6 linked regions of the Zea mays genome follow. Each later gene encodes a partner of the first gene's protein in a complex. Links are inferred from orthologs where the notes say so. Each region holds a gene or a part of one and is shown in the gene's direction. Other genes may lie near its edges.

Evidence for each region. The genes of interacting proteins can lie anywhere in the genome.
Region 2: mediator of RNA polymerase II transcription subunit 8 (region 1) and Mediator of RNA polymerase II transcription subunit 21 share a complex: the UniProt entries of both Arabidopsis thaliana proteins name them as parts of the mediator complex. The link is inferred for Zea mays from reciprocal best matches to the Arabidopsis thaliana genes MED8 and MED21.
Region 3: mediator of RNA polymerase II transcription subunit 8 (region 1) and mediator of RNA polymerase II transcription subunit 18 share a complex: the UniProt entries of both Arabidopsis thaliana proteins name them as parts of the mediator complex. The link is inferred for Zea mays from reciprocal best matches to the Arabidopsis thaliana genes MED8 and AT2G22370.
Region 4: mediator of RNA polymerase II transcription subunit 8 (region 1) and Probable mediator of RNA polymerase II transcription subunit 26b share a complex: the UniProt entries of both Arabidopsis thaliana proteins name them as parts of the mediator complex. The link is inferred for Zea mays from reciprocal best matches to the Arabidopsis thaliana genes MED8 and AT5G05140.
Region 5: mediator of RNA polymerase II transcription subunit 8 (region 1) and Mediator of RNA polymerase II transcription subunit 28-like share a complex: the UniProt entries of both Arabidopsis thaliana proteins name them as parts of the mediator complex. The link is inferred for Zea mays from reciprocal best matches to the Arabidopsis thaliana genes MED8 and AT3G52860.
Region 6: mediator of RNA polymerase II transcription subunit 8 (region 1) and Mediator of RNA polymerase II transcription subunit 32-like share a complex: the UniProt entries of both Arabidopsis thaliana proteins name them as parts of the mediator complex. The link is inferred for Zea mays from reciprocal best matches to the Arabidopsis thaliana genes MED8 and MED32.

What each region holds. Positions count from the first base shown.
Region 1 is NC_050102.1:151,801,048-151,805,300, reverse strand, and holds the start of mediator of RNA polymerase II transcription subunit 8, read left to right. Parts: upstream 1-1,453; 5' UTR 1,454-1,587; coding exon 1,588-1,826; intron 1,827-1,979; coding exon 1,980-2,104; intron 2,105-3,086; coding exon 3,087-3,211; intron 3,212-3,313; coding exon 3,314-3,497; intron 3,498-3,629; coding exon 3,630-3,734; intron 3,735-4,051; coding exon 4,052-4,119; intron 4,120-4,253. UniProt on the Arabidopsis thaliana protein: Component of the Mediator complex, a coactivator involved in the regulated transcription of nearly all RNA polymerase II-dependent genes.
Region 2 is NC_050099.1:37,999,035-38,002,606, forward strand, and holds Mediator of RNA polymerase II transcription subunit 21, read left to right. Parts: upstream 1-1,324; coding exon 1,325-1,618; intron 1,619-2,261; coding exon 2,262-2,333; intron 2,334-2,430; coding exon 2,431-2,482; intron 2,483-2,553; coding exon 2,554-2,630; 3' UTR 2,631-2,640; intron 2,641-2,814; exon of another isoform or gene 2,815-2,817; 3' UTR 2,818-3,072; downstream 3,073-3,572. Other genes in the region: putative X8 domain containing family protein isoform 1 precursor, read right to left, coding at 3,346-3,371, 3,467-3,572. UniProt on the Arabidopsis thaliana protein: Component of the Mediator complex, a coactivator involved in the regulated transcription of nearly all RNA polymerase II-dependent genes.
Region 3 is NC_050100.1:126,532,858-126,536,828, reverse strand, and holds mediator of RNA polymerase II transcription subunit 18, read left to right. Parts: upstream 1-1,171; 5' UTR 1,172-1,561; intron 1,562-1,755; 5' UTR 1,756-1,765; coding exon 1,766-1,801; intron 1,802-2,568; coding exon 2,569-2,668; intron 2,669-2,741; coding exon 2,742-2,799; intron 2,800-2,867; coding exon 2,868-3,224; intron 3,225-3,326; coding exon 3,327-3,429; 3' UTR 3,430-3,693; downstream 3,694-3,971. UniProt on the Arabidopsis thaliana protein: Component of the Mediator complex, a coactivator involved in the regulated transcription of nearly all RNA polymerase II-dependent genes.
Region 4 is NC_050103.1:106,778,689-106,782,934, forward strand, and holds the start of Probable mediator of RNA polymerase II transcription subunit 26b, read left to right. Parts: upstream 1-1,446; 5' UTR 1,447-2,204; coding exon 2,205-2,801; intron 2,802-2,888; coding exon 2,889-2,957; intron 2,958-3,055; coding exon 3,056-3,138; intron 3,139-3,339; coding exon 3,340-3,395; intron 3,396-3,480; coding exon 3,481-3,602; intron 3,603-3,702; coding exon 3,703-3,730; intron 3,731-3,823; coding exon 3,824-4,206; intron 4,207-4,246. UniProt on the Arabidopsis thaliana protein: Component of the Mediator complex, a coactivator involved in the regulated transcription of nearly all RNA polymerase II-dependent genes.
Region 5 is NC_050103.1:84,916,337-84,919,952, reverse strand, and holds Mediator of RNA polymerase II transcription subunit 28-like, read left to right. Parts: upstream 1-1,148; 5' UTR 1,149-1,294; coding exon 1,295-1,484; intron 1,485-1,918; coding exon 1,919-2,031; intron 2,032-2,796; coding exon 2,797-2,931; 3' UTR 2,932-3,116; downstream 3,117-3,616. UniProt on the Arabidopsis thaliana protein: Component of the Mediator complex, a coactivator involved in the regulated transcription of nearly all RNA polymerase II-dependent genes.
Region 6 is NC_050101.1:142,578,410-142,582,310, reverse strand, and holds Mediator of RNA polymerase II transcription subunit 32-like, read left to right. Parts: upstream 1-1,382; 5' UTR 1,383-1,501; coding exon 1,502-1,945; intron 1,946-3,188; 3' UTR 3,189-3,401; downstream 3,402-3,901. UniProt on the Arabidopsis thaliana protein: Component of the Mediator complex, a coactivator involved in the regulated transcription of nearly all RNA polymerase II-dependent genes.

The sequences.
Region 1 (4,253 bases):
TCACCTTGCAGTACTTACAAATGGCTCCATACCATACCATCTTACCATTGACAAGGTGAGTCGGTTCATCAAAGTCATGCCACACTTTAGATCTGAGAGGACACTTACTGGAACTGGTGGCGGCGGTGCTTGTGCCGGTCGGTGTCGGGCTCGTGGATCCTGTGCCCGCTTGACCACCGGTGGCGGCACCAGGGACATCATCATCATTATCGATGTTGATGGCAACACTACTGCCAAATAGGATCCGGGCATCCTCTGCTTTGTTATGATATTCTAGCCGGTGCTCCTCGTCCACAACGGTCGGATGAAGGTCATCGTCCATGCCGTAGACAGATGGCTCCTCGCCGACGACTGGGGTCCCTGGACAGCTACGTGGCACCGACACAAGCGATACCTAGGAGATTCATCACATCCATGGGATTCCAATCAAGATCTAATACACAAGAGAAGGGGATGGAGATTAGGGTTCAGGACATAACCTGCGCAGCCGGAGCACCTTAGTCGCCTTGAGAGCACCACCGCGAGGAGGAACACCTCTGCTAAGAGGATGTCAGGAGCCGAGGATGGGGATTACTCTATTGGGATTCGGGTGTGAGGAAGGGAAGATGATGAGCGAAGAGATGAGGAGAGTATAGATGTCCAAACAAGCCGTCGCTGGTAGCCGTCACCAGTAGCCGTCGGCGGGAGAGGCGAGATTTCGTCGGTCACCAAGGAGCAAGAGGTAGGAGCCACGGGAGAAGGGGAGGGGATTAGGTTTAGGGTTTCGAGCGAGCGAATGCCGGGGGGGTGCGTCATGGGGCAGGGCCGATGTGTGTTATGCGGCGTGGAACGGACAGACGCCGTGTCTGGCTCATTTTCGTGCTGGGTCGGGCCGAGCACGACGTGCCGGCCTCAAAGCCCAAGCACGACACGTCCACCGTGCCGGGCTGTCCCGAGCTCGATGCGCAGCGAGCCGTGCCGGGTTGGTACCAGGCTTCGGATAAATTTGGCTGTCCGGCCAATATAGACATCTATACCTGTTAAACTGCTAAACAAACTTAGCATCATCAGGCATCGGCTACACTATCATTGTAAAGTCCGTTTGCTTGTAGGTTGGCTTTAATTAGCCCCAGCTCCTCTGTGTGAACTAGGAGGCGTACGTGCCATCAAATTCTGTAAAGTTTGAAGCATGCTGCAGGCAGTATACTCGTGAGGATGACACAAAAAACACATATTTAGTGATACCAATTTAATGGTGTAAATACCACCGTCTCTTTTTGTATAAGTATATTAACTCTAAGTTTAGTTAAATAAAAAATAGTTTAATATATGACGACTCTGTATGCTCATCTCATCTAGGTATACATTTTGTTAGGACTTCTCCAAATTTTGAACTCTGCATTATGAACTTTTGGATTCTGGACACATGTTTTGTCGAGTGCAGAGAATTGACTTGACTGTCCCCCGGCCCTCACATGTCAGTCTGAGCCAGACACGCAAACTGGTGGTACCGCCATAACGATCTGAAAACATCCTCCATTAGTCCGCCTCCGGCCACCCCCTTTCATTCCGCCGCAACGCCACCGCCCCCAACGCAAGTTTCCGGCGATGGACCCCGCGGCGGCCGCGCTAGGTGCAGTACCCGCCGCTGGCGCGCCACCTCCGGGCGCAGCCGCAGGGGACCAGCAGGCAGCTCCCCGGGTTGAGCGGCTCAGCGCGGGGGTGCAGCAGCAGTTGAACCTGGAGGGGATGCGCGCGCGCGCGGTGGGGCTGTACAAGGCCATCTCCCGCATCCTCGAGGACTTTGACGTCATCATACGCACCAATCCCAGCGCCTCCCCCAAGTGGTAACTTCATCCCCAGCCCCGCCCCTCTTATTGGCTATCGGCTGATGGCTGGCAGCAGTGGATTCTAGGGTTTAATTAGGATGCCTCTGCTCGTGTGGCGTCGCTGCGCGATTGCTTACTGGTATGGTATGGCTGCCTCTGGGTGAATTGCAGGCAGGACGTGCTCGGGCAGTTCTCGATGGTGAGCATGGAGCTCTTCAACATTGTGGAGGACATTAAGAATGTGTCCAAGGTGTTTGTCGTGTACCCCCGGAATGTCAATGCCGAGAATGCAACAAGTATGCCGTTCTGAGTTTTTTCCCCTTTATGGATATGCATATATCTTTTGTTATCTGTGTCAATTTGGTTATCACGTAATGGTATTTGTTTTCTTAGAAATCATAATTAATATTTAGTTGATCTAACATAGGGGAGTTTAACATCTGTTGGTTATGTTCTAGTTGCATGGTTTACTGATTCAGTCATGAAATAAATCATCTCCAGTTCAGGGACAACAATTTCCAAAGACATTAAGAGTTCTTTGCCCTTGTTTGTAAAAGTTTGGTTGGTTCAATCAAGACATGAACAACAACCTCTCTGAAAGATTATCAATGGAAGCATGTAATTTGGGAAGAAATTATCTGATATGAAAATTTGCTCAGTTTATGTGTTGAAGTTTTGCTATGTAACCAACTGTATTGAGTCCAAAGGAATCCATCAAACATTTTCCCTTATTTGACCCAACACTAAATAGTCTTTCGTTGTTCATGGTCCAGTATTGGTGAACACCTAATGAGATTATGATTTTCAACACATGATGAGATTATACGATTCATTTATGCTTCCATATATTTTTAGAAAAAAACCCTATGATTTTGTTTCTAAAGTAAGGATGAATGATGACTACAAGTATGACCAGTTGGGCTAATACTTTGCTGTGCCGTTTCTTTGGGGTCTTCTCACAAGTTTTATTACACATGAAGATTCAATCTAAGATTTTTCTTACTGTCAACTGATGTTTATTTCCAGTTGTCCACTAATCAAAATTCTGAATTAGGTTTCAGACTTTTGAAGTTTTCTACTAGCCATGGCCTTAATTTCATGGCAAGCTATTCTGAGATAAATAAACACAGTGCAAATGACCCAACAAAAATGTATTGGAAATGGTCATTCTAATTGTTCTGATGCATTGTCATCTAGTGTTCCCATTTTGCATACTATCAATGGTTTGTACAGTTATTTATTATTAGAGTTGCAGTATAATCCTTATGAATATTGCAGTACTACCTGTAATGCTGTCGTCAAAACTGCTGCCTGAGATGGAAGTTGAGGAAACTACTAAGAGAGAGCAACTATTGTCTGGAATAACTAATCTACCTGTGCCTACACAGATTGAAAAATTAAAGGTGACCAATTTAGTATGAAAAATGAAAACCTATAGCATGTGTTGCTAGCTTGATTTATCGGCTATCTATTAATTAGAATGAACCTGGTACCATCCCTTTCAGGTTAGAATAGACATGATTGGGAGTGCATGCGAAACTGCTGAGAAAGTAATTGCAGAATGCCGTAAGAGCTATGGGCTGGGAAGCCGTCAGGGGACAAATCTTGGTCCTACATTGGACAAAGCACAAGCTGCAAAGATACAGGAGCAGGAAGGCCTACTTAGAGCAGCAGTAAATTATGGTGAAGGTGAAAGGCATAGTGCTTGGTCAATATTAATAAAAAATGCAATTAGATTTCCAAAATAAAGAGTCCTTTTTACTTCTATTTTGTGTTACAATTTCAATACTTATAGCCTTACTAAAATTATCTGAATGCCAGGATTACGGGTACCTGGAGATCAGAGGCATCCACAATCTCTTCCTATCCATCTGATAGAAGTGCTTCCTTTAGGAGACGGTGCACAAAATTTTGGTGATAGTTCTGGTATGTAGATTTTCTTGTGTATCTAAACTCTCTTAATGAACCTCTCCTCGTTTTGAGTTTTAACATCTGTCGATTGTCTCATTTTCATGCGCTATAGACCGAACTCCTATTGTGCTAGGATTAGTGTTTATCCTCAATTGCTAAAATCACGACCATTTGCATTGAGATATGTGCTGTAAAAGTTCCTTATATGTTTAACATTTGCCATATTAATGGGAGATTTGTGCCGTAGAAGTTCCTTGTATGCTTAACTCTTTGGCATTTGCATTGGAGATGTATTTGACAAATGCACATCTAATTTCTATTTGTATTTGCAGGTAGTTATCCCAAAAATATGTCAACATTTGCACCTAATAGTGTCAACAGCCAGGGAAATCAGATTCAGGTTTCTGTTATAACTGAGTTATTATTATGATATTAGAAAGGGTCTATCTTCTATTGTTATCACTCTTTTGAATTGAAAACCTCTTTGGTTCATTCTGTTTTTATGACATCAGTCATCTTCCCATGGTGTTGATA
Region 2 (3,572 bases), on another chromosome or scaffold:
TCGGACGACTTTGTTGTTCCTGTCCACTTTGAAGTTGGCCAAGAACCTCGCTTTTGCCTCCTGGATCATCTGCTCCTTGTGCTCCTCGAACTGGAGCTGTTCGTCAGCCGGCAAGGTCTCCTAAGTCGGCTCTATGATGTTGCTTGGGGAAATATTAGAGCTATCTCTTGAACCGGCCATTGAGGGCCGATTTGATGCGTCTATATTTGTGTCCCCAGCGGAGTCGCCAAAAAGTATGTTGACACCTTTTTGGAGGCGCCAATCACTTAAAAAAACCAGCGGCGGTGCTCTCTGGTCAGGCGCGGACGGTCCGCGGCACAGGACCGGACGGTCCGCGACTTGGCGCGAGGCGGTGGTGCTCTCTGGTCAGGCGCGGACGGTCCGCGACACAGGGCCGGACGGTCCGCGACCTGGCGCAGGAGCTAAGGTTCCCTGCCTGACGGCCGGATGGTCCGCGCCCTAGGGCCGGACGGTCCGCGCGTGCGCAGGGGCGGCGGGAGATCGCCGGCGGCGCCTGGATCTCGCTCCCGGGAGGGACCCCGTCGGGGAGGAGAGATCCTAGGTGGTGTCTAGGCTCGGGTAGACTGACCTAGACTTCTCTAATCGACGTAGAGTCGAGGAGAGGCGGAAGATTTGGGGATCGAGAGGCTAAACTAGAACTAGACTAGAACTACTCCTAATTGTACAGGAAATAAATGTGAAATATAAGTTGTATTGATTCGATTGATGATTACAAATCGGCCGTATACCTCTCTATTTATAGAGGAGGGGGCTGGACCCTTTACAAACTAATTTCCGAGCTTTTCCCGCGATTTTAGCTAACAAACATAGCACAAAACTCGGAACCCTAATTTACTCTGCGCACGCACGGACCGTCCGGCCCACAGGCGCGGACTGTCCGGACCGCGGACTGTCCGGCCTCCGTCCGCGCTCCTTTTGGTGCCAAACAATTTATAATTTTGTCACTCTCAGTTTTGACTTTATTATATTATCCCATATCTATAACTGATAGAATCATCTGTGTCTATAATTTAGGGTCCGACGTCATATTAATGAAGCCTATAAATGACAATGGTAAAATTGCCGATGGCTCAGCATTCTGCAAATGTGTGGTGACCGGAAGACTTGGTGGTATCCCAGGAATATGAGCGAGCATCTTTTGAATACCGGCACATACATTTTTTAGATCCGGCCTGGTCCATGCTACGTGGGCTGGATCCTGCAGACCCATTCCTGGATGAAATCGGCCTGCTACAATAAAGCCGCCGTCCTGCAAGTCTGGGACGGAGGAAGGAGAAGAGGGAGAGAGTGGTGGGGATTCGGCATGGACATCATCACGCAGCTGCAGGACCAGCTCGACGAGATGGCCGTGCTGGCCGTCAACACCTTCGGCACGCTGCAGAGGGACGCGCCGCCGGACCGCCTCTCCAGCAGCTACCCTGACCCGCTCAACCCCAACCCTAAGCCCGAGGACGACTCCAAACCCCAGGTCCAGGCCCAGCCCGGCGCGCCGCCGCCGCCACCGGCGCAGGCGCAGGCGCAGGCGCAGCCGCCCGCGCCTGACCTCACCGAGCAACCCAAGGCTATGAGCCGCGCCCTCGTCCTCGCGGCCAAGAAGGTAGGTACCCTGCCCCACTTCTCTTCTCGGTGTCCCCATCTTCTGGACCAAATGCCCGCCCGGTGATTCCAAAATATCTTTGTGTGGTTAAGTAGAAAGTTTCGGCTCGCTTCGTAGTTTTACTCGTAAGTCTGATGCTGCGAATAAGTGAAGGACCAACTGTTTAATTTTTGCTTGCTTGCCCGCGTTATGTGGAGACAAACAATGAAACCGTGTTGCCACTTACTAGTCTTCATATCTTGCTCCATTGCATAAGATAAGATGTTTATCCCAACAGTGTACAGAACAATCTTCATCTCTTGCTCCATTACATAAGATAAGATGTTTATCCCAACAATGTACATAACGTAGAGTCTTCATCTCTTGCTCCATTTCATAAGATAAGATGTTTATCCCAACAACAGCGTACAGACGTAGAATCTTCATCTCTTGCTCCATTTCCTAAGATAAGATGTTTATCCCAACAACAGCGTACAGACGTAGAGTGATGCATACGGGAGGGAGGGAGTGAGGGAGATCACTTTGTGTTAACCATGGTTGAAAACTTGAAATGTAAAGACTGGCAAACTTTAGTTCAAATTATGCTTGCTGCAGTTCCAACTTTTTCCCCTTAAATGAGGAACAATTATGGCCTTCTATGCAGTTTGATGCACTTGTTGCAGCAGTGCCACTATCATCAGAAGAGGATCAAGTGAAAAGAATCCAAGAGCTACAGGTAGATATCAGACAGTCAGATTAATTCATCGAGCACAGGATGGGCATCTGCCAAACTCCTACTCCAAATAAACTGTATGAAAATCTGAAATTTGCAGGCAGAGAATGAAGTCGTGGGACTGGAGCTCCAGAAGCAACTTGAAGCTGCCGGTAACACGATCCCCACTGTTTCTAGAGTTCTTACTATTATATGTCTAATTACTGATGTCATTGCGTTACAGAAAGGGAGTTGAAGCAGGTTGAGGTGCTGTTTAATGAAGCAACAGACAATTGCATAAATTTTAAGAAGCTAGATTAATTACGTTAATGTAAGTTGAGATGAATTTCTTCCTACAACTTATCAATGCACTGTCAAAGTCAATTTCTCTTTTAATTTGGCTCCAACAGTTACTTCTTGGTTTTGTATGTATTTGGCATCAAGTGTTGGAAACCGATCTAGCTCATAAGATATTGTGTTGACGTAAATCCAATGTCTGCCATAGCAGGTTTGCTGAAAAGAAACTGTTCCTGTGGATGGAGTGTGGAGGATGAATGCCAGTAAGAACTTTATATTCCGTCTTTTCAGATTCTCTACTAGTGAACAATAATTGCACTTAGCTTTTGTGTACTGGCATTCTGATCTGCCGGATTAGGATTGACCTTTGGTTGTAAGGTGCAATGTTTTTAGTATGAACTGACGCTTGAACTGTGGTGGTCTTTTTAATGGATCTGGCACCTGGCTTCCTCTGGGATTTCTTCTATATTTTGGTATTTGTTCAGTACCTGAGACCTTTGACACCTGTTCCTAAACTCCCCTCCAGCCACTGGCCTGGAGTAGAACTGTATTTGGGAAATAAAAGCACGGAAATTCTCTCTACAGTGCTCAGACATGATACTGGTTGGTTCTGCAAGGATACTCCCTGCTCACTCACACAGACACAATAACAAAACAAAGAGAAGGAAAAGATGCATCATTCCCCTACAGCCTTATTCATCGTCCGTTGAGCACAGCAGCAGCAGAGCAGCCCGTCGTGTCAAGCATATTTGCAGGTGCCAAGGCCTGCAAGAGGATCCAATGATCCATCATCCGGTGTCAGCTCCCCCAACACGGTTCACGGGCAATGAGACACTCACAGCAAGCAAGGAAGCACTCACTGGGGTCAGTGATGGTGATTATGCCGGTGCCGTTGAAGAAGCAGTTCCACGAGTTCCTCCCCCGGGCCTGGTAGTAGGCGTTCATGGCCACCGACGCCCGCGACAG
Region 3 (3,971 bases), on another chromosome or scaffold:
AAATCCATCTTTAGCGCCAATAAGTCAACTGGGAGATGCCACCTAGATTAGATCAAACTCCTCATTGTGTGCCTCCTCCTGAACCACCTGTTCTTCTCCTATGGGGGTGTGAGACAGAAAGGGTGAGCTCACATATGATCATAGCTCAACAAGTTGTGGGGAAACTAGTGTGCATGAACTCACCAAAGGTGAGAGTTCATGTGAAGTGTAAGGCTGATCAACAAAATAAAGGTTGAAGCTGAGCATTGCTTTTATAAGTTGGTCAAAATTTTATTAGCAGTTACTAAGTGTAAGTAAATACCAAACCATAATAAATAATAGAACAAAATTAATAAGTAATCACATGCAATGCAAATGACAAATTGAATTTAAGTTCCATTAATTAATCATGCGACAGTTCTGAGCTGCTCATGACCATGAGCTCGGCTAGTATACCAGTTTTACACTCTACAGAGGCTGTACCCTGTATCCACAAGTAATGTTACCCATCTACCAAGGGATCGCGACTCTCATACACCTCTACCAAGGAAGCGAGACAGGGCAACACTACGAGGCCTTTATAAAGTTCCACTAGATTTCGACTTGCAAGAATCCCCCGTCTGACCGCCATCGCAGCAAAATCAACCGAGAACCTCTCTGCATGTAACTCTCTTACTGCCGTTGCCCCTTTCGGGTAAGGTAGTTTTCCACTAGCTTTCCTAATTAGTTAGTCAAGGGGTCTCATTCCTCTCTTGTGGTGACACATGTTTCTCAAGTTAAGCTCTATGTTCCAATTAAAGATAATAATCTTGACATGAATAAAAATAAAATAACAAAATAATTGGAACATGGATATAATGAAATATTAACCCAAAACCATGTAAAGAAATAGTAAAACTATCAAGTGATTTAGGAATAAAAAGGTAAAGTGATAACATATCTAGAGTAACCTATTAGGTCTTATCAAAATTAAAATAAAAAAAGTGACAAATAAGGCTGAACAACCCCCGCACCGCGACTAGGCTGAACAATCCTGACTCAAGCCCACGGTTTATCTTTTCTGTCCGAGATCACCAAATTTTGATACTTTTTTCGTTTTCGCTATTAACCAAAAAAACAAATTTCAGTCCGTTTTAAATGGATTTGATTCAAAATATAACAATATAAAAAATAAAAGATTAGTCAACGAAACGAAATTTGGATCATTCCAAACGAGACTGTGAACTCTCCCAGCTCAAGCCCACCTCCCTGCTCAAGCCCAGCCGTCCACTGCCTGGCTCCCTCGTCCGGTCGTTCCCGTCTCCCTCCTCGCGTCGCGTCCACCATTGTTCCTGTCGACGCTGCGCCGCACGGCTCGCACCGCCGACAGTGCCTCAGTCCTATCGAGCCTCCCTCTTCCCAGATCAGGCCCTAGCTGGGCTACAGCCGCCGCCGCCGCTGCCGCATCCGTCACCTTCACACCGCGTGCGCGCGCGCTCTCTCTCTCTCTCTCTCTTTGCGACGACTGGACGGGCTACCGCAGTCGCCACCATAGGCACCACGCCCTTCGCTGATCTATTCGCTGGCGAAGAACGCTCTCAATGTATTCCCACTCCCACCCCCTTCTTCTCTCTACCCGCTGTGCGAAAACGAGTTCCCGAACTCTAACCTAACTATTTGATGTCTACTAACTTCTAATTTTGTTTTTTACTGCCATACTGGTCCACCCCTGATACACATATAACAAATCCACTAACGTGATTCTTTTTTTTTGGGTGCAAAATCATTGTGGGACAGTAGAAGATCGATGGAGTGCGTGGTGCAGGGAATCATCGAGAACCAGGTATTGTGCCACAATGCAAGTTGGCACTGATGGTTTATGTAAAATTTGATTTTCACGCATTCCACTAACATTTGAAAGATAGGAGCTCTTTCATCATCGTTAGTGCAGTCTATTTTGTTATGCAGATCAGACATTAACTTTTCCTCTCACTGCTTGCATCTAGATTTGATAAGTATTTTGAATGGTGTATAGATTGTTAATATCTATTTGTAAGTATATACTTATAGTATTGAATTTGTTGTTGAACATTTCGTTACTAATTGAATTCCGTTGCTGTGGACAAAACAATCTCATATTGATGTACATGTACAGTGCACAATGTTGAGCTTACGCACCATACAATCTAGCTTCATTTTAGTGTTCAGTTGAGCTCCCTTAGGTATGGCCACTATCCATAGTTGCCAGTTGGTGGTCACTTTTCTGTTTACTCCATCACAGATAAATACTAACAAAAGTTTATTTTATTGAAGTGATAAATAGATAGATCATGTAGACCACTAAATGTCAACAATTTATTCCGCGCTTTAAGGCACTACTTCTGGAGCTTTTGATTTCATTTGTTTTTTTTCTTCTCAGCATGTTAACAGAATAGTAACATTTAATATACAGTTGGGGGAACATATGATCTATCCTTGTGCTTTTACAATAGAGAGGAACTTAATTTTTTGGTATGTTCTAGTTTATGTGTTGTGCACAGAATGTAAGTTGCTCTTTGTTGTACTGCTCTGCCATTAGTTTAACCTTTGTTTGATCTTTCCATTTTGCAGCATGTCGATGCTCTTGAGGTTCTACTCCAGGGACTCTCTGGTGTCCCGAAAGAGCGTTTTAGGGTGCATGAGCTCTGCCTTAAAAGTGGGCCCAATCTAGGTTAGTTTGTGATTAGTCTACTCCTCCATTCCTACACATGTGGCGTATTAACTGACGTCTTGCAATCATACAGGTGTTGTCCCATCGGAGGTTCGTTTGTTGTGTGACTTAGCTCAGCCCACACCATCCTGGTAACCGAGACAAGCTGCTGAAAGTCTACCTTTTGTTATGTTTATCATTAATTGTGACAAGATTGTAGGACCATAAGACATGTTGGTGGTGCCATGAGAGGTGCTGGTGCGGAGCAAATCTCAGTTCTGGTTCGTACAGTTGTGGAGAGCAAAGCTAGCAAGAACGTCTTGCACTACTTCTACACCCTAGGGTACAAGCTAGACCATGAACTCTTGAAGAGCGGTTTTGCATTTCGTTTCCACCGAGGTGCCCAAATCACTGTCACTGTTACATCTGCTAACAAGATGTCAAGGCTCCATGCAACCGATGAAGCTACGCCAGTCACTCCTGCCATACAGCTAGTGGAAATCACAGCTCCTGCTGCTGCTGATAATTACAATGATGTTGTTTCAGCTGTCACTGCGTTCTGTGAATATCTTGCCCCGTAAGTACCCCAAAGCTTGAATTCCGAGGCAACAATCAGAAAACATATAAGAATGAACCAAACACCTTTTTGGTTTTAATAATCCTTGGAAATCTGCTGCAGGCTGCTGCATCTGTCAAAACCAGGACACTCGACAGGAATCGTTCCAACAGCAGCCGCTGCTGCTGCCTCACTCATGTCAAGTGGCGGTGGCAAAACCTTGTAATGCTGCTAGGACAGCCAAAGTCCGTTCTTGCTGCTAGGACAGCCAAAGTCCGTTCTTTGAGATGAGTGGGCGTGGCTAATGAGGTGGCCTTCTTCGTGCCGAGCATTTGAGCAGTCAGTTTTGCCTGCTAGTGTTGTCCATGTCTGACACATCGTTGTGCCAACCTTGCTCTTGGTTTGACTGGTTGCATGATTGCTGATGGGTAATGCCCTGCCTTGTAGTTGCAGGGTGTAACAATCTAGTATTACCAATATTAAAATTTCTCAAAAATCCAAACCATAATTTCTTTTCTCAAAAAGAAGTTTATCTCATGTGTATATATTTTTCAACTAGGTGAGTGCCCGTGCGTTGCGACGGAAGTAAAAAAATTGTATGAAATATATAAACGGAACGACAAATATCATTATGATATGCAAAATCCGTATGGTAAACATTATCAATATTAGTGGCATGTCCTTTGTGGAAAGACCACCCATTAAAAAGTCATTGATGCACCCATCGGTCGAGACGTTGACAGGAGATTAGTATGACACTTAAGATTG
Region 4 (4,246 bases), on another chromosome or scaffold:
AGTGAAGTTTTTTTGTTTCCTCTCTCTCTCTCTCTCTATCTATCGATCTATCTTTTTTTTAATATATACTCTTCCATTTCCTTTTTCCTTCCTACTATCTCTGCTGCTACACGAAGCCAGCATATGGTTGCTAGTGAAAAGGACACACGACTGGCCCTTCGGCTACCCCAGCAGCCACTCCAAAATGGAACACCCGCGTAAGTCATACTACTGTAGAAAATTTAAAAAAAATGAAAATAAAAAAAAGAACCTCGAAACAACCCTAGCCAGCCACTGTCCCACACTACTGGTGGGAGACGCTAGATGCGCACGCAGTGCACAGGGGACAAAATACAGAGACGGAATTCCTTCTCAACAAAAAGCATGAAACACATGCCACTTTTGAAATGGGAGTATCTATGCGCGGCGTGGGAATAAGCCAGGATGCTCGGATCAAGATGCTAACACTGCAAAAACAGACGATGCATTTCTTTCGCTGTTTATTATAGTTTCATCAGATTGTTTGGTGTAAGATTTTGATGGCTATAGTATTTTTTTTTCTTTTCCCGAGATTTCCGGAGAGGATTTTTTTCTTCTTTTTCTTTCCATCTCTCTCGCTCTTTTCGTTCAATCTTACTTATTATACCGTCACCCATTCTTATCGTTCTTGTTTTTTTGCGACCATGGGTTATCATCTCATGTATTGCGAAACCTATAGTATAGCATTCGACTCCTCATCTCATGTATTGCAAAGCATCGCGGACCTCTTGTGTCTTACGATTTTGCCACCTTGAGAGCCTGCTCTGTACTAGGTGCAGCGCGTCGCACGACTGTGTTAAAAAACTCGTCTTCCGTCTTTTTTTAAAAAACAAATGCACAACAGTTGCCTACAACGACAAGCATTTTTTTTCAAAAGTTATATTCATGTCTCGTCAGTTGTTTCATATAGAATTACGTCTTTATTGTCTCATTCAACCTATCAACTAGAACAAGTACCACGCACCAAGCTGTATTAAATTCACTACAATAAATTTTTTATTTAACACACATTGTACATGTTCCGACTTTATATGGATTTTTTAAAAAAATTAATGATTAAACATTGAAATACGACATGAAGAAAACAGAATAAAAATATATGATAAAGCTTGTGAGGGCATCCCATCCATTTGACATGACACGCTGTGTGCAGTGCTGAAAATACTTGTGCTCGGTAGTCGGTACGCAAATGACTTTGCAATTATGGCCCGAGAGAGATATGCTTTACCAAATAGTAAATAGTTCAGATTATACGCAACTAAACAATAATCATGATGGAAAACCACCCTGTGACTTTGTGAGTGAGCATCATCAACCTAGCAGCACTGCTCCTCAACACAGAGAGAGAGAGAAGGAAAGAGACCGGAAAGGGCGCCCCCCGACGCCCGAGTCGACCGCAACAAGAATCAGCCACGCCGCGTCTCACCCATCTCCCGTAGCATTTCCGCCATCTCCTGCGGGTTGAGTACGGCCGAGTCCTGCTGCCCTTCGCTCGCTTCTTCTGGTAAATTGCAGTTTGTTACCGCAATTGCAGCTGCTAGTGGTGGCGAGGCATGGGCCATGGGAGAAAGACTAGTTGTTGCTGGTGTTTGGTAGTAGTAGCCGCGTAGGTCTCGTGGGTGTGCGCACCCTGCCTTCCCCGTCCCTATCCGCCCGTCTCATCGTCATCCCCTTCCTGTCTTCAACTTCACCTTCCCTGTGTTTCCTCCCCGCTTCCTTCCGCTCTAGGGGTCAGCCAGGCAGTCCAGATAAGATTTGCTCTGGTTAGGCTACCTCCGCGCCGCGCTGGAACTCCCTCCCGGTGAGGTTGTTGAAACCGACAAGGAACGGGGACGTGGGGCCCGAGGAAGGTCACGCTGCTAGTTTTTTTCCTTCGCGATCGATCCCTTCCGCCTCCGGATTCGCCCTGCTCTTGTTCCTCCGCTGTTTTCTCGATCGGTTGGCTGGTGACTCTGCCCCTGCCCCTGCCCCTGCCCCGGCCCCGATTCGGGGGAATCTGATTCGCCGTTGGGCGGGCGGGAGAGATTGGGTTCTTGGTTCTGGTGCCGGTGCGCGCGGCGTAATTTGGTAGCAGATAGAAGCAGGAAGGGGGAGCATCGGCCCTTGGCTGCGCTGCTGAGAATCGCGGTCGGGGGAGGCTGATCTTGGCGACGGTGGCCCGGCGGGGACCGGTGGCGGCCGCGGCGATGGCCGACGGGCTGGATCGGTGGCGCGGCTTCTTCCGTGGCGCCGGCGCTGGCATCTGCGACGTCATCGAGAACGCCATCCTCGTGGCGGCGGCCGACGCGCCGCGGGACTTCCTGCACCGCCGCGACCGCATCGCTGAGAGGCTCTTCACCGCGCTCCGCCGCGACGCGGCGCCGCCGTCCTTCGGCAGCGCCGCGGCGTCCACCACCCCGGCCACTCCCGTTGAGGAGGACAAGGGCAGCGTGCGCCGCGTCGCCGAGAAGGAGTGCAAGGTCGACAGCAGCAGCAACGGTACCCACGGCGGCGGCGGCCATGGCCATGGCCACGCCGATGAGGACGATGATTCTGACTCTGACGACGAGCGCCTCCGCCGCGCCGCAGCGAGCAACTATGGCCACAACTACGATGATGATGACGAAGATGGCGACCAACAGGAGGAAGATGAGCAGCAGCATGCCGCGGATGATACTGAAGAAGGGGAGGAAGACCACGACGCTGAGGAGCTCGAGGCGCTCACCAATGAGATCGATGAGGAGTCACAGATCGTCGGCGAGGTCCTCCGCATCAAGGAACTCCTCCTGCACAAGGAAGACCATGTACTGGCAGACTGCCTCGTTTCTTCATTTATTTATAAGGTCCTTAAACTTCGAATTCCTCTGAGCTAAATCATGTTGTTCCTGCAGTCGGATGCCACTTTGTTCGATTCACTGAGGAGGCTGCAGTTGATGCAATTGTCCGTCTCTACGCTAAAGGTACAAAATGGATATTGCGTACATATGAGCTATTTGATGTGTTGATCCCTGTTTGCTCTGGCTGTTTGGTTTCTTAATCTTAGGACTGTTCATTGCAGGCTACTGAGATTGGAAGAGCTGTTAATCGGCTGCGGAAACACAACTCACGAGAGATTCGGCACCTCGTGTGCACTCTCATTGAGTAAGTTCCATCTTCATTTCTGTCAATTTTGGTCCCTAGTGCTACTTCTCTGTTGCTTTCAAAGTGCTTAATAGCAGACCAAAATCACTGATCAAATATCAACCAACCAATTGTAGATTAGCTACATAATCATTGGAAGTGCCTTCTTGCTAGCGTTCTTGGAAATGTTGTTGACATATGAGGTTACCTTGTGTGTTTCAGAGGTTGGAAAGTTTTGGTTGATGAATGGGTCAGTACCACAAATGCTGCCCTGACAGGTAACTGAATTGAATTGATCTAACAGTTTCTAAATGAAGACTGGCATCTTAGCTTAATATGGATATTTGTTCTTTGGTGCTGTAGAGAACTCCCCTGGCTCTTCAAATCCTTCTGTTGTGGATGAAGAAGAGGAAGGGCTTCCATCTCCACCTTTGGACGAAGGGGCCTTCTTTGCCACCCAAACCACTTCTATTCAACTCTCTGAGGTACTGATATAGTTAATTCCTGCCATCTGATTGGGATTTGTGTTTAACAACAATCTGACTCTGTGTCTGTTGTTTTTCCTCCCATCTCCCCAACCTAAAGTTCTTTGACGAAATGGATGAAGATGGAAGTGAGTACAGCAATTTAGCAGTTCTTAATTTTCCATGCTTATTGCTTGGTTTTAACATTATGATGATTATTAACGTTGCGCATACGGTGCCAGATTTGAGACATAGTAATGACCCGAGCCTTGGAAACAAGAGGGGTAACAATGGTGGGAGACTTGCAAGCCATTCAACGGTTGCAAGGCAAGATCCACCTCGCTCTTATCCTGGAGTCGTCGAAAGAGTTCAACCCAGGAGGCTAGAACTGGCAAGGCAAGAGCCACCAATGAGGCAAGCGAACCCACAAACCCTCCAAAGTTCAAGTTTGCAAGCCAAACCTCACGGTGCGCTCAACAAGCAGTCTAATAATCCCTCAAGTTATGAATCTGGACCGGGGAGACCAGTAAAGGCAGCTCAACAGAGACCATTTGGTGACATGAAACCTAAACAAACTCGAGAGCATGTTGCTATCGAGAGAAAGCCTATGGCAAGCCAGACAGATGTAAGTACACGCAACTAAGGCACATGTTTTTGACGATGGT
Region 5 (3,616 bases), on another chromosome or scaffold:
TTAAGTGATTTACTAAATTTTAGGTACCTGAATTTTAGTTTTTAGTGTGTTGTAATTTATATAGACATAATCTACATTTTTACTCTTAAGAATAAAATATCTATTGAACAAAATCATAAATTTGGTAGATTTTGATTTGTGTTGACATAAAGACCATTAACATTTTGCAATTATTTTAGTAGTTAGCTAAGGGAAAAAATATAGGTTATAACATAAAGGTAAACAATAAAATTATAGTCTTAGACCCCCTTTGGACCCTTGGAATTGAATTCTAATATAATAATTGTAATTTAGACATAAATCAATTAAACTAATATGGTTTTATAGTGAGTATATTTGTATATTAGTGTTGGCCATATTTGAGAGATATTTATATGTTACATTTCTACTATAGGAGAGTGAGTAGAAGAGTGTGTTATAAATTACAGAGTAGAAACGTAGAATTGAATACATAAAATCAATTTCCACCCCATCTTATGAATTTGAGATGAGTTTATATCTAAACTTTGGAAAGTGGTGTAATATCAAATTCAAATCAAATAACCTACTCTATTAAATACTCCCTCCAGTCTTTAAATACTTGATGTTTAAGTGATTTTCACTTTGGATGCAAATACTTGATGTTGAAGCATTTGAAGCTTATTTTGGACTAGCAAATGCTTGATGTTGAAGCATTTGAAGCTTATTTTGGACTAATATACCCTTGATATAAGTGGTTCACACATTCTTCCACATATGCTTAATTATTCTTATCGTGAAGGTTTGATCTCACGACCTAGTGTAAAATTCTTTAGGACCCAACCATCTAGGCTAACATCTTCATGTGTTTGTTGTGGAATCTAAGCGTATTTATTAGGGGTATTATGGAAAATAACAACCCTATTTAATAGCTCCTTGGTATATGAGGTCATGTCCAAAACATCAAATATTTGAAGACTGGAGGGAGTAAATTCCAATTCTTTGAAAATAAAAGGATCCAAATGGTCCTTTATTAGCAATCAGTGGTATATAAGAGTGTTGCCTAAATTTTAGGCACCAAAATATGAAGAAGTGTGCTATTATAAAAAAGAAAAAATATTTCAGAAAATTGTCAGCCTGAACAAACTATGCGCTTTCCTTCAGCCAAGGCAGCCTCAGCCCTCGAGCCTATGCCTATCCAGGCGCAGAACACGCCATTTGTAAACCAATCCTAGCCGTGCGTCTTCAATCCAACGGAAAGTTCCTCCTTGTCAATAGCAAATCGGAGGCCCAAGCGCTCCCAATCTCTCCGGGTCCTCTCTCCGCATTCTCCGTCATGGCTGAGCCGACGCCGTCGCAGTCGCCAGCGCAGACGCCGCCCCCGCCGCCGACGCAGCAGACTCCCGCGGCGGGTGGGCTCGAGGACATGCTGGCGTGTGTGGCGGCGCTGGAGGCCGCGCTGCTGCCGTGCCTCCCCGCGCGCGAGCTCCAGGCCGTCGACCGCTCCCTCCAGTCCTCCCACCAGAGTACGGCCGACCCCCATCATTTCCCCACTCTCCTCCTCTAGAGGTAGCTTCACTTTGATCCGGCACGGCTTCGACACCAGTAAAGTCTCATGGTGTTCGGTCGGTTAATGGCGCCGTCGCGCGCCACATGTTCGTTGTTTTGCCTACGGGATGGATAAAGGGATCTTGCTCTTTCTAGAGGAAGATTTTGCATCTTTCTTGTGCCCAGGAAATTGTATATCGATTGGTTTCTTAGGTCCTAGACTGAGAACTCAACTTGTATCAACTGTACCAATCAGGCAATCACATTGCAATGCTTATTAAAGAAGTAAATCACATTTTTAGATACCGACTTAATAGTGTGCAATGCTTATTAGAGAAATTTAATTGCATTTTCTCATTCGTTCCTGCCAAACAGGGTATCTAAGTGTTGTAGTCTCTACTAAATTGGGCAGTTGATGTTGAGAGGCACGCAAGGGATTTCATGGAGGCTGCCAAGAAGCTCCAGTCTTATTTCATCAGCCTGCAGCGTGAGGAACCGCCATCTGCAGAAGAGATGCTTCGAAAGGTATATTTCTACTTTATCCTCGTATAGTTAAGAGTGCGGCAAGGATAGTAGTTAAATTAAATTGGGGACTGGTTATGGAGAATGAATTAATTATAAAGTGTTTGGTTTGAGGAATGAGCTAGTCCATCGTCTTCTCACTTCTCTTTTTTTATTTGATTTGTGGAATGAAATAAGGAATGGAGTCATTCCTTATAGTTAGTTAGTACTAATATGAGAAATAAGGTCATCCCAGCAAATTTGAGGAATGGACTCATTATACACCACATCATTTTGGATTGAGTGACTCCTCAAACCAAACACTCCCTTAAAAGTTTTCATTGGTGATAGGATTGACATTTCACATGATATGATCATCCCAAGTACTGTGATCATTTGTGGTTGGCACTATACTTAGGAATAGCCAACTTTATAAATCACATAGTGCTACTTGCTACAGGCAGTTTGTTACACTCAGTATAAGCTTTATTACAAAGACTCCTATATTTCTACTCGAAGTTGAGGTGTTCATTATTGAAAGAACTGGTAGCCTGCCTGAATCGTCACTTCTACAAAGTAATGTTCCCAAGGAACACCCAATCACATTCATACACCTAACACCTTCTGTGCTCATGAATTTTTCATGCACACGTTTCTGTAAAAAAATGCCTTTGCAGTAGTTGAGAGAATCACAGGTGCATAGTTGCTGGTCTTAATTAGGAATTTGGGATACATATACCCACCCAATATTTATCATCTCGTTGGCATGTTCGGTTTTGCATTGCACAGGAGATTACGACAATGGAGGAAGAGTTGAAGAGCAAGTCTGAGCTCATTGCCAAGCACAAGAAGTTGATTGAAGGGTGGCAAAAGGAACTGAAGGAGCAGCTGAGCAAGCACATCACGGAGCTTGAAAGGGTGTGAGGAGTGCGATTCTGCGGTTTACCTTGTAGTGATCATGAACCTCTAGGTGACCAAATGTTATGTTATGCCCTATAAAACTGTGTACATGTGCTTAGAATCTGACGCCATGGTTAGCAATCGCCTTTTGTTGGTTTCTTAAGGTTGGAAGCCACGAACAAAGCCCACTTTATCTATGTTTGATTGTGTACCTTTACTTGCCCCATGGTCTCTGTTGTTGTGCAAAATGAGTCTCTGCCATCATAAAACGACATAGAATGCTAACGGCTTCCTGTCTTTATGGGTAAACTTTGGGTGAATTTATGGGTAAACTTTGGGTGAACTGTTGGAGTCAGCCTAGCGGGTTATGTGCCTACTCTGGATGGCCGCCATGTTCGCAAGTTCCTTTCTATCTTTACTCCATTTGTGCCTGGATCAGCTCGAACAGAACCTTCTCCTGACAAAAAGCCGAGCCAAGTGGCACAGTTGCTACGTTGAATACACGAGCAAGCGAAAAAAAACACTTTGTGTTTTATCTCCGTTCCTAAAGGTGCACTGCCAGGTTGTTCAGTAATCCACTACTAGTCAAAATCTTTCTCAATCCATTTCAATACACCTTAATCCATATGATTTTGCTATAAAATGAACAAGACCTAAGGACATAATCCTTGTCATCACAATTCATATGGATTGGAGATAATTGGATGAG
Region 6 (3,901 bases), on another chromosome or scaffold:
AAGCTTCTTCTGTTCCTCTTTTAACCTGCATTAGCGACCTTCGGCAAACATGAATTGGTTGCTCTCGGAATAAATGATAAAGTGGTTAAGATTAGTTGATTTTAATTAAGGACCTCCTGCAAAGGCTTACCCCCAACAATTGCTTTCAATGTACGGTAACGTTTAATATACTACGTATTGTGTATTAATAGAGTGATTCACTGATAATAACACACCCATTTGGTTACATGTCAAGCCAGATGACATGTCTAGAACTATCTAATCAGAGTCACAATCAATAGGGACAATCGTAGCAGTAAGCCAACACACCACTCAGCTCTTCCTACATTCAGTGGCGGATCTCCAACCGAGGCTGGGGCTGCCTGGGCTGCAGCCCGGTCGCGGCCCAAAAATCAGCGAATAAGCCCATCAGCTCCAGCCGCGCGACCGCGTGAACAGCCTCCCAGTCGTAGGTCGCTCCTCCTCCCTCTACCCACGAGCTTCAGGCCTCCAACCGCCCACGCCCCGACGCCCGGAGCACCGCTGCAACCCGCAGCGTCGCTCGCCCGGAGGCCGGACCGCCGGAACACCGCCGCTAGCCCCGCCCGGAGCACCGCCTTGACCACGCCGCTGTCCAGCCGCCACTCCGCGCTCCCTCCTTCTGCTAATTCGTGGAGCTCAGGTTTGTACACACGCGCTGAGAAGAAAGTGTGCTTAGCTATTAGCTTGTTCTTGCATTGGAGTGATGAGCCAGACAGCCAGTGATGTATGGCCTTGCCATAATGCCATGCGCGGTGTGCGGCGTGTGCCAATGCCCCTCCAAGCTTTCTGTTGGGGGTTCCTTGTTCTGTTGGGAGTTTGGGACGATGAAGGAATAGGAGGCCAAGAGAGTTTCTGCTAATCTGTGACAGATCATGCAGGAATAGGACGTCCCATGCGAACTGCGAAGCAGAAGCAACGAAGGTGAAGCTGTGATCTGTGAAGCAGACAAGCAGTGAAGGTGAAACATGTGCTATTGTTTGCTTTAAGTTTGATTTGAAATTTTGATTTGATTATTTATTTGGTAGTAATCCCATGCTTATAAGAATAGGATGGATAAATTTTTCATCAAGAACCAGAAGAAAGATGATTCTAATTCTAAAACAATTAGGATAAACGAGAGTCTTGTAAAAAAAAGACCACGTATAGTAGCTCTGGATCCGCCACTTCCTACGTTCTGTCCGCACGATTGATCGCGAGCTTCCCAACAACACGCGTCCAATAATGTAATTTTTAGAATTTATTTACTATACGGTCTGGGAAAACAATATTATTTTTTTAGAAAAAAATCCATGCCTACAATCTCTAGCCCTGGTCCAGATGCGTATGTCGAATAAAAAGGCCCATCCTGATCTCGACCCGATATCGATTGGGCCATTTCGGCATTTCCTGTTTTCACGCTTTGCTTTCGGTTTCGGGGTCGTCGTGTCGAATTGGGGGCTGAGGCCGAATTGGATCGTCAGAAGCTGGGGGTGAGGGAGGGATGGAGGCGACTGTGGACCACCTGAGCGCGGCGTACGACGACTTCATGGCGGCGGCGGCGGCTGTGGTGGAGGCCCGCGTACAGTCGGGCGGCGAGAAGAAGACGGCGGCCACGGACGCCGCGCTCGAGGCCTTCAAGCAGCGCTGGGAGATCTTCCGCGTCGCCTGCGACCACGCCGAAGAGCTCGTCGAGTCCATCCGCCAGCGCATCGGCTCCGAGTGCCTCGTCGACGAGGCCACGGGGTCCGCCTCCGCCGGATCCGTTGCCGCCCCCGGCATCAAGCCCATCAGCGCCGTCCGCCTCGAGCAGATGAGCAAGGCCGTCCGATGGCTCGTCATCGAGCTCCAGCACGGCGCCTCTGCTCAAGGGACCGGCGGCAGTGGCGGTGCCGCTACCCCAAATGCCGGCGCTGGAGGGCAACACCCGGAGGAGGGTGCCCAGTAGGTATGGACTATGGAGTTACTGAATTAAACTAGTAGCATCGCCCTTCTCATATGAAAATTGTAGCATTTTTCCTTCAATAGAAAACAAAGAACTTGTCGTTGCTGTGTTTCTATGAGTGACAGCATTAACCTTGCGTGTTGATATTTGCAAGAACATGAACTAAGGTGCCGTTTGGTTCATATATTTGTAACGTAATGGGTAATGGATAACGTTAAATCATGTTTGTTATAGTCCAACCGTAATCAGATACCGTACTAAAATTTGATACCAGCCTATTCAAATTTGTTACCGCCAGTAATCGAGCGTAAACTATTACCATTACCATTTGCGTTACATTTTTTGAACCAAACAGCACCTAAATCATTGCGATTTGCTGGCTGTTGTTTTTACCTTTCCATTTTGAGATATACTACTACTCAGCATTAATGTCTTTATGCCCATTGGTTATTGCCCAATCTTTACACAGATTGCTAAAATGCTGCTCTCCATAAAAAAAAATTATAGTGTCGTGACAAAGCATGAGAGGTATATAGATCTAATTACATGATGACCAGAAAAAAAAAACCTGGGGGTATAATGCTGCGCCAGTTTTAAGTCTGTACCTGTTTGGACCAGCCAGTGTATGGGGATTGGTTGTTGCAGTTTTTGATTTTGAGTCAACTCTTTTGTTGAGTGAAGAGATAAGGTTGGGAACTTGGGATCCCTGGTTTGAGATAGACAAAAAAACTAAAAAAGGGCTGATCCAGTGCTGGAGGCTCTCACACGAGTGGGGTCTAGGAAAGGGATGAGCTTCGAACTCACGACTTAAATTAGGTGCCGTTTGGTTCCTAAAATGTAACGTAAATGGTAACGGTAATGATTTGCATTCGATTACCAGGGGTAACAAGTTTGAATAGGCTGGTATCAATTTGTAGTGTGGTATCCAATTACAGTTGGACTTAAACAAACATGATTTAACGTTATTTGTTACCTATTACATTACAAACATATAAACCAAACAGCACCTTAGTTCCTTTATCGTTCTATAGATCCAAAGTTTTATTCACCACTGCTATGGTCCCTACAGATTCATGATATTTGAGTTAACAAAGCAGTACTGGTTTTCATTGTTCTCAGAGTATATTCACTAGTCATTTTCACAAAAGCACGAACTGAATTGAACAGTAATTTAGTAAGATGGTTACCAAGAAACCAGATATGCCCATCACTGTATCTCAAATGTATGTTAATCTATTATGTGCAGAAAAAAAAGATTTGACTATGCTACATGACAGTATGCTGATAAACTATTGGAAGTAAGCAGAAATGTGGAGATGTCATAATCTGTTTGTATCGATATTATAGGATCTGTAGACAAAGTACAATTTCACAATTTGATGGCTGCACTCAAGAGAATTGGCTGAGGACTATGAACTACTCCCTCCATTTCTAATTATAAGATTTTTTGGCTTTTCTAGATCAATAGTTTTTGCTACACACCTAGAAATATATTATGTATAGATACGCAAAAGCTATGAACCTAGAAATGCCAAAATGTTTTATAATTTGGGACAGAGGAAGCATTAGCAGAAAAAACATGCGTTTACATCCAACATGGATTAAGACGCGTTAACGCATTATCATACCAAAAACATAGATGATATGGTGAGCAAAGTGCATTATCATACCAACAACAGTAACATGGATTAAGACCACAACTGATTGTTAAAATTTGGCCACTGACTCAATATAAGCAGTGTACCTAAAAAATAGAGCTGAAATGAGATAATCTGTACAGAAACTTTAAAGGTTGTAACCAATGCCAAATTCAGAAAATAGAGCTAGATAAAATATTAGCTCCATAAGTATACCGGACTTTGATAAATGTAACATGCTGAATGATACTACTCCGTATCATGTGAGAAAAGGATCTGAGTATCTGGTCGATTAATTTAAGAATATATTAAGACCTGGAAC